Rhinolophus ferrumequinum: one gene and its partners. Each later gene encodes a partner of the first gene's protein in a complex. Links are inferred from orthologs where the notes say so. Each region holds a gene or a part of one and is shown in the gene's direction. Other genes may lie near its edges.

Region 1 (3,751 bases):
TTCCATATTTGAGGTGCTAAGGAGCAGCAAACTCGTTGTGGGGCAGAGTTGGAAATTTGTCCTAATGCAGTATTTGCATAATCGTTACTTAGATTTTACTTTACAAGGAACTATAAATAATAAAGTATCCTAGAAGATGCTTTTAGTGACACATTACATTAGAGAAAACAACCATTGGCCCTATCAATTTAAAACGTATTTTTATTTTTTTAATTTATTTTTTAATTACATTTATTGGTTGACAATGGTTAGTAAAATTACATAGGTTTCAAGTGTACAATTCTATAATACGTCATCTATATATCACATTGTGTGCTCACCACCGAGTCAGTTCTCATTCTATCACCATATAGTTGACCTCCTTTACTCCCTTCTATCACCCCCCCCCCTTATTTTTATTGATACCTGTTATCACTTCAGTTGGGTCGACCTGGCTACTGTGGGGGCTGATTGAGATTATGGGCAGGTTTAGGTCCTCATTCCCCTGCCTCAGCTCAGTGGGACTGGACGCTACCACTCCTACTTCTGTGCCCTCTCTCCTCATGGTATCTCCCAGGACCCGGACCTTACCGCTCCTACAGCATCCCTTCAAGAACACTCCATAGTATCGCCCAAGTGGGGGGGAGGTTCCATCGTGACATTTCTCCCCTCTCCTCCAGTGGTATCTCCCAGACTCTACTCTTCCTCTTTTCATAGTAAGGGCTCCCCCTCAACCCTGTGCCTTGTTATTAGGTACAGGTGTGTATATTTTTTTGGAATTAGGCTCTAGAAGTTGAGTTCCAGAGCCTAACTCCAAAAATGCCTGTCCACCAGGAAATTTACCCAAAGAAGGGCAGGCTACCTCTTCTCAGGGCAGCCCCACTGTTCTGCAGCGTGAGGCAGGAGGCAACGGCTTCTTCCACTGTACGGCTGGCACACCTGTCCAAGATGGCAGTGCCCACAGAGCAGCGCCGCTTGGGTGCAGCCATATTCCGATCTCAAAAAAGCAGCGGATGGCAAGAGAACTATGGCAGACGCCGGTGACTGCGCCCTGATGATTGCGCAACTCAACTTCGCAGGTACTTTTGAGCGTGCGCATCAGACACCCAGTCTCCCGCCAGGTAGACACCCTGGCGTTAGAGGTCAGAACTCGAAAGGGAAGCGTTTCTCAGGACCCAGGTGCTAGCGCCTGAGCCGTGCTGCGGTAATTTTGAAGTGGTTGGCTACCCAGGTACTGTGGGCTGAGTGATGGGGGCCAGGATCTGGGTCGATGGTGGGACTTCTGTGGTTTCAGTGATGGGGTCTTTTATATCGGATGCTCAGCTAATTATTAGTCAGCCTTTCTTTTTCTAATTAAAGCATTAGGACCATACATTTCCATCTAAGACCCAAAAGATATGTTGTATTGTATTATCGTTATTTCTCATGTCTAAGTATTTTTAAATTTCAGTTAAGATTTTTTCATTTCACACGTGTCATTTTGAAGCGCATTTCTGTTTGCAATAAACAGTACTACTGATATTGATTTCTAATCTGATTTCTCAGTGGTCAGATAAGTGAATTGTGTCATGAACATTCCTTGAAATCTGTGGAGACTTGCCGAGTGGCAAAGTCCTTTGTATCTTTCCATGAATGCTCCATCTATCGCGTCAAAAGAATGTGTTCTCAAAAGAAAAAAAAAAAAAGAATGTGTTCTCCAACTGTGAATTGTGTTCAAAATTTGTATACGCTCTCTGATTTTTTTTTCACTTACTCGTTCTGTATAGAGCAGCGTGATGGTGATTTGTGCATTTCTCTTTGCTTGTGTCAACTTTTGTTGTACTTGAACCTTATTATTAGGTACAGATGTGCATATTTTTATCATTAATTAATTAATTTATTTTTATTAGTTTCAGGTGCATAAAACAAAGTAATAGTTAGAAATTTATCATTTATATCCCACACAGTGACAACCTCCCTCCCCCATCAACTAACCCTCTGACATCGCACACAGCCATGACATTTCCACTGTCTCTGTTCCTAATGCTGTACTCTGCTCTCTTGTAAATATATATATATATATATATATATATATATATATATATATATATATATATAAAATTGTAGTTGACATTCATTATTGTTTAGCTTCAGTTTCAGGTGTACAGTGCAGTGATCAGGCATCTACATCATCCCTGAGGTGGTCTCCCTAATGAGACAAGTGTCCATCGGATACCCTACAAAATCTTTACAACATTATTGATTACATTCCCCAAATTGACTTTCGTATCCCCGTGGCAATCTTATGGTTACTGATGGTACTTTCTAATCCCCTCACCTTCCCTCTTATCCCCACCCCCCCTCCCATCTAGCAACCCTCAGTGTGCATATTTTTTTAAATAGACATTGCTAATGACTCTCAAAAATGTTATATATATATTACATGTATGCATATAATGCATATAATACATATAATACATATATGTGTATATATACATGAATGTATAATAAATATTCCACCAGAAATGTATAAATAACCCATTTTCCCAAATCCTCTCCAGCACTGGATGATGTTGTTCTTTTTCATTTTTTATCATTTGAGGGCTGAATAATTATATATAGTTTTTCTGTTTTACTTTTTCCACCTATTAAGTGAGGTTGAGCATCTTTTCCAGTTAATTGGGCGTTTGGATTCCTTCTGTGCATTTTCATATCCTTTGTGCATTCCTCCTCTCTCCCTTGGCTTTTACATGATAAACTTTCCTGGTCTCCCTCATTGAGTATTACTAGTGTCATATCTATTCCCATACATATTAAGATCAATTTCTGGACATTTTCTTATATTTCACTAGCCTATTTATCCCTGTTTTGATTGCATTAGTTTTCATTGTTAGCTTAATATCTGCTAGTCCCAGCACCCTCTCAGTATTCCCTTACATAATCTTCTTGGCTATTTATACTTCCATATAGAGTTTGAAATTGTTTTACCAAGTTGAAAAAGAATTGGAATTCTGATGGACACTTCATTACTTCAATAGAGTTAACATCGAAGCAGTGATATTTTTGTTTTTACTATATTCCTATCCAGGGATATGGTCTGTCTCTCCATGTACTTACATTTTGCGTTATATTATAGAATAACTATTAGTTTTCTTATTTTAAGTCGAGCATCGTTCTTGTGTTCATTTTTAGGTATTCTGTGTTTATTGTCCTTATTGGAAATAGGATATTTTTTCCCTTTTCTGTTTCAATCTGCTGTATTTATTTTCTTGTACCCTACCACCTTATCAAAATTCCCTGTGCTAGGTTTCTGACTATACAATGATGTCACCAGCAAATAAAAATGATTTTCTCCCCCTTCTCAGTATTTAGCCAGTTTATTTCATCTTCATATTTAATGTCATTAGCTAGAGCTTTGAAAACACTGTTGTGAGGGGAGCAACCCAATGTTGTTGCTAGTTTTAATGGAAACGTCTTCAGCATTTTACCTTCTAATGTTATGCTTCCTGATTATCTCCAGACTATGATCTTGGCTGAATTTTCATAGTTTCTTTCTAGCCTTGTTTTCATTTGAGAATTACTGCTGAATTGTGTCAAATACCTCTTTTTTCATATACATCGATACAATTGTGTTGTTTTTCTCCATAATTTGTTGATGTAATACATAAATTGATAATTGTACTAACATTAACCACCTTTGTCTTACTGGAAAACCCAATTTGGTCTTGGGATAAATTTTTATTTTCATACTAGCTGGATTCAAATTGCTAATATTTTATTTAAGATCTTTGCA
Region 2 (3,751 bases), on another chromosome or scaffold:
CAATGGTGTGTATCTGTTAGCTGGGACTGGAATTTTTCTTGTTTCTTCTTTCCCATCCTACAATACAAGAACACACAAGTCGAGATGTCTGGAGGAATGGGGGCGGAGTTGTAAAATGACAGCTGATCCTCAAAAAAGCTTCCTTTAACTGAAAGAATTAAACTTCAGCCGAGTCACTTCTCCAAAAACTTCACCCCAGAAGAGGCCCCGCAGCTTCAACATCACCCAAAGGCCACCGGCTTGACCACCCTCTGGCCTCTACCCCGTTCCTGTCCTATGGTCCCGCCAGTACCAGGAACCTGTCCCCGGAGAGGGGCGGGAAGACAGGCCTCTTCGCGGGCCGGGCCTCCTCCGTGTCCATGGGGCCCGCGTCTCCGTCCTTCCCCGCCGCGGAGATCTCCTCGGCCGGCCGTTTCTTCGCTCGCCGGCCACCCTTGCGGGTGACCTGGGTGAAGCCGTCCTCGGCCCCGGTGCTCTGTGCCTCCATTTCGGTCGCCATCCCCAGAAATCTCCAGGAGCAGCCGGCGCTTCCGGCTCGAACACGTGCGCGGCGGCACCGCGGCGGCTCCAGCGTCGGCCAACCCACCCCAGGGCTCCGCCCCCTTTCCTAAGAGGTCCCACGCAGGGGACTTCAAGCCCGATTCTGTGTGTGCTTGTTGGGAAGGAAAGGGGGTTATCCTACAATATGCCTTAGTCTTAGGGTCTCCCTCTGGTCCCGCCACAGCCCGAGCATTTTGTGATCTCTCATCTGAATATGTGCGAAAGGCAGTAGGTAAAGGCAATGAACAAATTTGTGCCATCGGTGAAGAAAAATCTTGTGTGACTTCAGGAGCACATCTGGCATTAACTAAGACAACTACATCCAGCTTGCTAGGGCGTTCGGGGACGAGTACGGCAAGTGGGAAGGACAAACTGTCATTACTGTTTGGAGTCTGGTTTCCAGGTTAGTGTTTTGTCAGGGTCTGAGTGTGTCAGTCGGAGGAGGCGAAGTCGGCTGCACTATGTCGGCCTTTGAGAAGCCTCAGATCATCGCCCATATCCAGAAGGGCCTCAACTACACGGTATTTGACTGTAAGTGGGTGCCCTGCAGCGCCAAATTTGTGACCATGGGCAACTTCGCACGGGGTACCGGCGTCATTCAGCTGTACGAGATCCAGCACGGGGACCTAAAGCTGCTTCGGGAGGTGGGTTCAGGGTCGAGACTGCCCAGTTCCAGGATCTGGGAGTGCCGTTGGCGACGAGTGCGGATCTTGGGGGTCTGCATTTCTTTTTGGCAAAGTTTTCGTTCAGGGTCCCCTAAAAGCACAGCTTAAGCTGCGCGGGAGTAGCGGAGATGACTGAAGATTGAGGAATAACTTCGACGTAAAATGCTTACGTTGGAGTCTTGAATTCTCCGAGGGCTTGTGCATCCGCGCCCTGCCGGCCCTTTCCTTCACCCACCTCCACAATCCCGAGCGAAATCTCTGGAAGTGACGTTCCGACTTCGGGTCTAAATTCGAGGCCCTTCTGGGCAGTGCGCAGTTTGTGGAGAGTCTGTCAATAAGGCCCCTGTTAGTAAAATGCTTCTTCACACAGGCAGAGCCAAAGCAGGCACCGGGATGCCTGCGGTGTAATTGGAGGAGACAACCTAACATTCATTCTTTCAACAAGTATCAGTTGATTGACGGGTGTTCCCAGGCGTGTGAATGACAATGTCGCCGATCTCATGGAGTTGTCTAGTGGGAGAAAGTATCAGTTAAATAATCACACCAACGATGCATAAATACAAACCAAGGTGAACTCTAGCGTAAAGGAACACCGTTCTATGAGAGTAAAACCAGATTTGAGATGAGTGGAAACTAACTAGGCCAAACTAGGAGCAGAGAAGGAGGTTTCCAGAGGAAACAGCATATGCGGAAGCTCAGCGGTGGGAGAGACGTTATTTTCTGAAACAGGAGAGGTAAGCAGGGACCAGCGTTGCAAGACCTGTAAGTCATTTAAAGATTTATGCCTTTTTTCTAAGAAAAATGGGACATCACTGAAGGGCTGTAAGCCGGGTGTGGCAAGCCCAGATTTACGAGTTTCGTAGAGATTACTTGTGAAAATTTGAAAGTAGTGACATTAACTAACATTTTTATACCAATTTAGAGTTTTAAAAATGCCTTGATTTGGGTTGCCTAAAAAAAAAAATTGTCATACTCAGATGTTTAGGGTTGTAATAGACTACAGGGAAGGTTGACAACTCCAAGGATCAAAAGCTATGGAGAGAATCTGCTTGGAGGACTAAGGGGTTAAACAATTTCGATAGGAAGGATTAGATTAGGAGGTATGTAAGGCCCCATTCCACTTTAATTTTCTATGAGTGCCAGGTTTCTTGGTCAGTTTGTCTTCTCTAGTCAGGCACTCTACTCTGAATAAACATGGCTTGTTCTTTTCTACCTTTTGTTGTATCTCCCAGTTACGTGTTGCTATTTAAAGGTCCAGTTCAGATTTTTTGATTTATGAAGTCTCTTGCTGATCCCCACACAACGTAACTTTTCTTACATTGCATTCCTATGGTACTTACTATCTGTGCCTGAAATACAAAGGGTGCCAAAAAAAATGTATACACATTTTAAGAAAGGGAAAAACTATTAAAATTGTAATGCTCAATATATACCGATAACAAAAGATGAATACAAATCACGTTTGACTTCTGCAATTACAAAAGGTCCTCAAAGTGGTTACCATCAGCGTAATTTTAATACGGTTTTTTTCTTAAAATGTATATACATTTTTTTGGCACCCTCTCTATATCATTCTGTTCCATTTATCTCTAATTACCGTATTTTGCTCTGTATAATGTACTCCCTGTGTATAATGTGCACCTATCCTTTTGGCCCAAACTTTCAGGGAAAAAACCTTTTGTTTTAATTTTTTTAATTCAAATTTTTATTTGTTTACATTTAGATACTTGTTTTTTGTATTATAAAGGAATTTTAGCATTTATTTTTAATCATATTACGGTACAAGAAATTTTATGTAACAAATAATCACAAAACACAAGAACAAGTACAAAGTACAAAAAATTTTATGTACTGGTAACAAATTTATGATATTTACGCTTTGTAGAAGGCCAAGAACTCTTCATCGTTGCAAGTTCATGGTAAGTTCAACAAAACTGATTATCGTATTCCAGGGTATTATTTTGCATATGGATATCGTTACTGCTTTCTAGAGTTACACTTTTAACTCATAAGCAGAAATAAAAGAATTAAAAACATTTATATAGATGCGGAATTAGTACTACCCGTGTATAACATGCATCCTTGTTTTTCCCTCACAAATTTGGGCAAAAAAGTGTGCGTTATACACGGCAAAATATGGTAGATTGTAAGCTCCTGGAGAGGAAGGAAGGTGTCATTCTTTAGTGTGGTATATAAGGAGCAGTCACTCAATAAATTATTTGTTAAAAGAATGAGTAAATGTATGTCTATAAAATAATATAACTTGGGAAATTTAAATATTGGTTTATTGACCATTCGATTGGGGTCAGGGGTTTGAACAGATGGGAAATATTAGAATAGCAGAAAGAAACTTAGCGGTGAAGTATTAGGAACAAATACCAATCAAAGCTCAACCAAAGAGCATCTATCTACAGACTTGTAACTTTTTTTACAAAACTATATCATTTGTGTACATTTTAGGAATATACTTGTTCATAAAGTAAAATAGTGCTCTTTGTTTTTTGTAGAGATTCTGGAGGAGTCTCATGCATTTTAAAAATAATTTG
Region 3 (3,751 bases), on another chromosome or scaffold:
TCAACCCTTCCCCATTCAGGCCCATTTGGCAGGGGTCAGAGGTCAGCCTGGTCCAGGCCTCTTTGGGTCCCAAAGTGGAGGAGACCCAGTTCTGGGGTCTAGGTCCCAGGAATGCCTAATGAGCCCCATTTTTCCTTTGGCAAATGTTCCCCCTTCCTTCCCAGGGCTTGTGTCTGCATTTCTGAACCAGAAGGTGTTTACACAAAACATCCTGGGTTTGGCGACAAATTCACCCTCAATGAGGAATCCTTAATGAATCTCCTTCTTTCCCTATACCAGGCAGCTGCAGGGAAAATTAGCTCTGCCTCAGGCAGTTGAAGGCAGCCAACGGCCAGGCAAAGAGGAGATGCCATTGAGACTTCTAGGGCCACAGTTTTGGAGAGGGCTTTTTTTCAGGGTGCAGAGATTGCTGTGGAATGGAGGCCAGAGAGCTTCTAGACCCACATTTGCTGCTGACATTCTAGATGACAAAGCATGGCCCTTCTCCCACCCGGAGTCTGCAGCTGTGAGATGGGGCAAAGGTTATTGTGAAATTCAAGTAAGGCAAGGGGTGTGCAAGGGCTTGGTCACAAGGGGCCAAAAGGGGAGAATAAAAAGCTAGACTTGGAGGCAACAGATCAGAGTTCTAACATCAGGTCCGCTGCCGACTTTTAAAAGTCCTTGCCGCATTCTGAGCCTTGGTTTTTCCAGCTATACAATGAGGGGTTTGGGCATGATCTCTAGGGAACCCTCTGGTTCTGAACGGCAGCCACTTGCCATCTGCCTGCCTCTTCTTGGAGGTCCTCCCCGATCCTACAGCCCACACTGACTCGCTTCCCAGAACGTACAGAACTTCTTTTCTGAGCTGGAACTTCATTACTCACTGCCTATGGTTTTCCAGCCCTTTCCTTAGGTCTAGGTCAACTACTCCAGACAGTGGGCCCAACACAGAGGTCAAAGTGCATTAAAAATGATTCCTGCCTCCTTCTGATCCTGCGGAAAGACAATGAGGGGGATTTTTATTAACCCCTATTTTATAGATCGGAAACTGAATGTATAAAATTAAATATAAGTCGCACTGCCATATGAGCCTCCTTGGTGTTCGCCAAACAGGGCAAGAATGATTTGTTTCTTTCCAAAGCCCTATCAGTGCCTGCCAGAGTATATAATTATTTGTTTTGTCGTTAACTGTTGGTGTTTCCTACTAGGATGAAGTTGCACGAGGGCAGGGACTTTTGTTTTGCTCACTGCTGCATCCTCAGTACTTAAAACTGCCTGTCACATAATAGATTGGTGCTCAAGAAATATGTGAGGGGAAGAAGGAAGAGATTGAGGCCACACTGCGGCCTGTGCTCTCTGGGCCTGCAGGGGGCGCTCCAGCCCTGCCCCCAAAGCTGGGCCCCGCCTCTCGCGTTCGGCTGACGCGCATGCGTTGGAGCCTGCGCGCCGCCGTTCGTTTTTTAATTGCGCATGTGTACTGTGAGTCCTCTCAGAGCGGCGCGTGCGCAAGCGGAGCTGGAGCAGACGGTGAGCAGGGTCGCGGCCCTGCGGAGTTGGAGCTGCCGGTGACGATGCTGTCCCCCGAGGCGGAACGGGTGTTGCGGTACCTGGTGGAAGTGGAGGAGCTCGCCGAGGCGGTGCTGGCGGACAAGCGGCAGGTGGGAGGCCCGTCCGCGGCGCTGGCGCCTGGGTTCGGCGGTTGCGGCCTGGTGACCAGCGCCGTGGGGAAGCGCGCGGGGTCCGGGATCTGGCTCCAGCGCCGGCTGGCAGTGAGTGGCCCGGGGCTGGTGGTCCGCTGGCTGTAAGGACAGACATAGGGCAGTTGTGAGATAACGTGGTGGAACGCTGGGCACGGCACCGCGCTTCACCCATTTATACGGCACGTCTTAGGTGAGCGCCTGCTGTGTGCTAGGCATCCCCTCTCTCTCCATCCTTCCTCTGCCCCTTACCGTGCTCTCCGGATCCCGCTCCATTACCCCTTTGGGCGGTTTACCTGAACCCCTTTTTCAAAATGCAGTTCCTGGTACTCTCAGTGACTTGGGTTGCACCGCCCCAGTCAAGGCCCTGAAGGGAGAAGAGGAATAGAAAAGAGGCCTGAGTGGTTTGTGATTGCGCAGGGGTGGGGACGCGGGAGGAAGGTGAGGCCGGGGTCGTAGAGGGCCTTGTGGACCTGAAGAGGAAGCTCGGGCCTGGTTCTAATTGAAGTGCCGGGTGTTTGAAGGGAGTTCATGGGGGGCGGGAGGATGAGATCATTGGATTTAGGTTTTATTAATAAAAGGATCCCCCTGGCCGCTCTGTGGAGCACAGACTGTAAGGAGGCAGGGGCCTGGTGGGGGCCAGTTGCCACAGTCCAGGTGAGGGATGGGTTTGATCCTGGGCGGCGAGGATGGAGACAGCGGATGGGTCAGAAATATATTTTGGAGATGGCCTTAGTCTCGATGATGGTTACATAGGGGTGAGAGCGTAGGAGGAGTCAAGAATGAGTCATGACTCTTCATCTCCAGTTAGAATGATTGATCGATTGGTTGGTCTGGTATTTACTTCGAGGGAGAAGACTCAGGAAGAGCTTATTGAACAGGGCATCAAGGTGTACTGGGCGATGATGATAGTAGTTAAGATTTATTGAGTACTTACTGTGCTAACTCATTTTGCTCCTGGCTCAATGACTAGGAGGTGAGTACTGTTCGTATCTCCGGTAAAGAGGAAGGTGGAATTGCACAGCACATAGCGGGCAGCAGGATTCAAACCTGGCTATTCTGGCTCCAGAGCCAGCGCTCTCAAGCAGCACATTGTACCGCCTCCTCACTTCCTTAGCAGCTGTTGTGTTGTTACCACCGTCTCAGTGTCCCACCCCTGCTGATCCAGTCTAGTTAGTTGGGCTTCTCATGATACTAATTAAGAATCAGCTGGAGGAGCTTGTGCAGGGAGAGGTTTCCACTCCCCTGGTGATTCTGAAATGCCCTAAAGCCTGTGAACTAGCACTCCAGTGGATAATAAAAATTATCCGTTTAGTTAACAGACGTTTTCCCAGCACCTTCTCTAGGGGGAAGACACCTGTACAAAGCATGGTCTTTAAACATCTGAGAGCTAAGTGGGAGAAAATATATATTCACACATCAGCCCATTTTACTTTCAGGACACTGGAAGTAAGCCAGGAATAACGCCTTGTTGTCTCTGTTAGGTTTTAATAGCCCCTGGTCTGTTGTGAGGTGATAGGCTGGGGCAAGAGGTAACTGTGTTCCCTCCTGCCTCTGAACTTTTCAGATTGTGGACCTGGACACCAAAAGGAATCAGAACCGAGAGGGCCTCAGGGCCCTGCAGAAGGATCTCAGCCTCTCTGGTAAGTCATGACTTCCTTACTGCAGCCGAGGAGGCCTGTTCCGTTTTCCATCTTGTACTTAATAGAGAGACCAGGCAGGAGGCCACAGGTCTGTGGCACGGCCTGCCCCTGGAGATAGGGGAGAACATTTCACAGGTCTGACACTGTGGCTCAGGGTTTTAGCTGCTCACCTCCATGACAAACCATTAGCCACTGGCTCACCAGTGGCATTAGGAAAGTGCTGGGAGGTATACAAACTGCGGTTCTTGCCCGTGTGTTCTACAGATGAGTAGAACGACATAAATACATAATTGAAAATTGGGAGGAAGTTGAAGAAGGGACTAGACATGGGGTAGGTGTTGGAGGAGGGAATGGGGGCTCTTTAGAGGCCAAGTGGCTGTAACAGAGGAAGCATAGGGGAAGGGCATTTGATGAGGCTGGGAAAGATGGGCC

Evidence for each region. The genes of interacting proteins can lie anywhere in the genome.
Region 2: UXT (region 1) and DNAAF10 share a complex: the UniProt entries of both Homo sapiens proteins name them as parts of the PAQosome complex. The link is inferred for Rhinolophus ferrumequinum from reciprocal best matches to the Homo sapiens genes UXT and DNAAF10.
Region 3: UXT (region 1) and PDRG1 share a complex: the UniProt entries of both Homo sapiens proteins name them as parts of the PAQosome complex. The link is inferred for Rhinolophus ferrumequinum from reciprocal best matches to the Homo sapiens genes UXT and PDRG1.

What each region holds. Positions count from the first base shown.
Region 1 is NC_046284.1:86,247,073-86,250,823, forward strand, and holds the start of UXT (protein UXT), read left to right. Parts: upstream 1-1,195; 5' UTR 1,196-1,210; intron 1,211-3,751. UniProt on the Homo sapiens protein: Involved in gene transcription regulation. Acts in concert with the corepressor URI1 to regulate androgen receptor AR-mediated transcription. Together with URI1, associates with chromatin to the NKX3-1 promoter region.
Region 2 is NC_046296.1:22,365,972-22,369,722, forward strand, and holds the start of DNAAF10 (dynein axonemal assembly factor 10), read left to right. Parts: upstream 1-893; 5' UTR 894-1,001; coding exon 1,002-1,184; intron 1,185-3,751. Other genes in the region: RNA-binding protein PNO1, read right to left, coding at 1-57, 293-499. UniProt on the Homo sapiens protein: Key assembly factor specifically required for the stability of axonemal dynein heavy chains in cytoplasm.
Region 3 is NC_046306.1:22,580,255-22,584,005, forward strand, and holds the start of PDRG1 (p53 and DNA damage-regulated protein 1), read left to right. Parts: upstream 1-1,463; 5' UTR 1,464-1,550; coding exon 1,551-1,637; intron 1,638-3,243; coding exon 3,244-3,319; intron 3,320-3,751. UniProt on the Homo sapiens protein: May play a role in chaperone-mediated protein folding.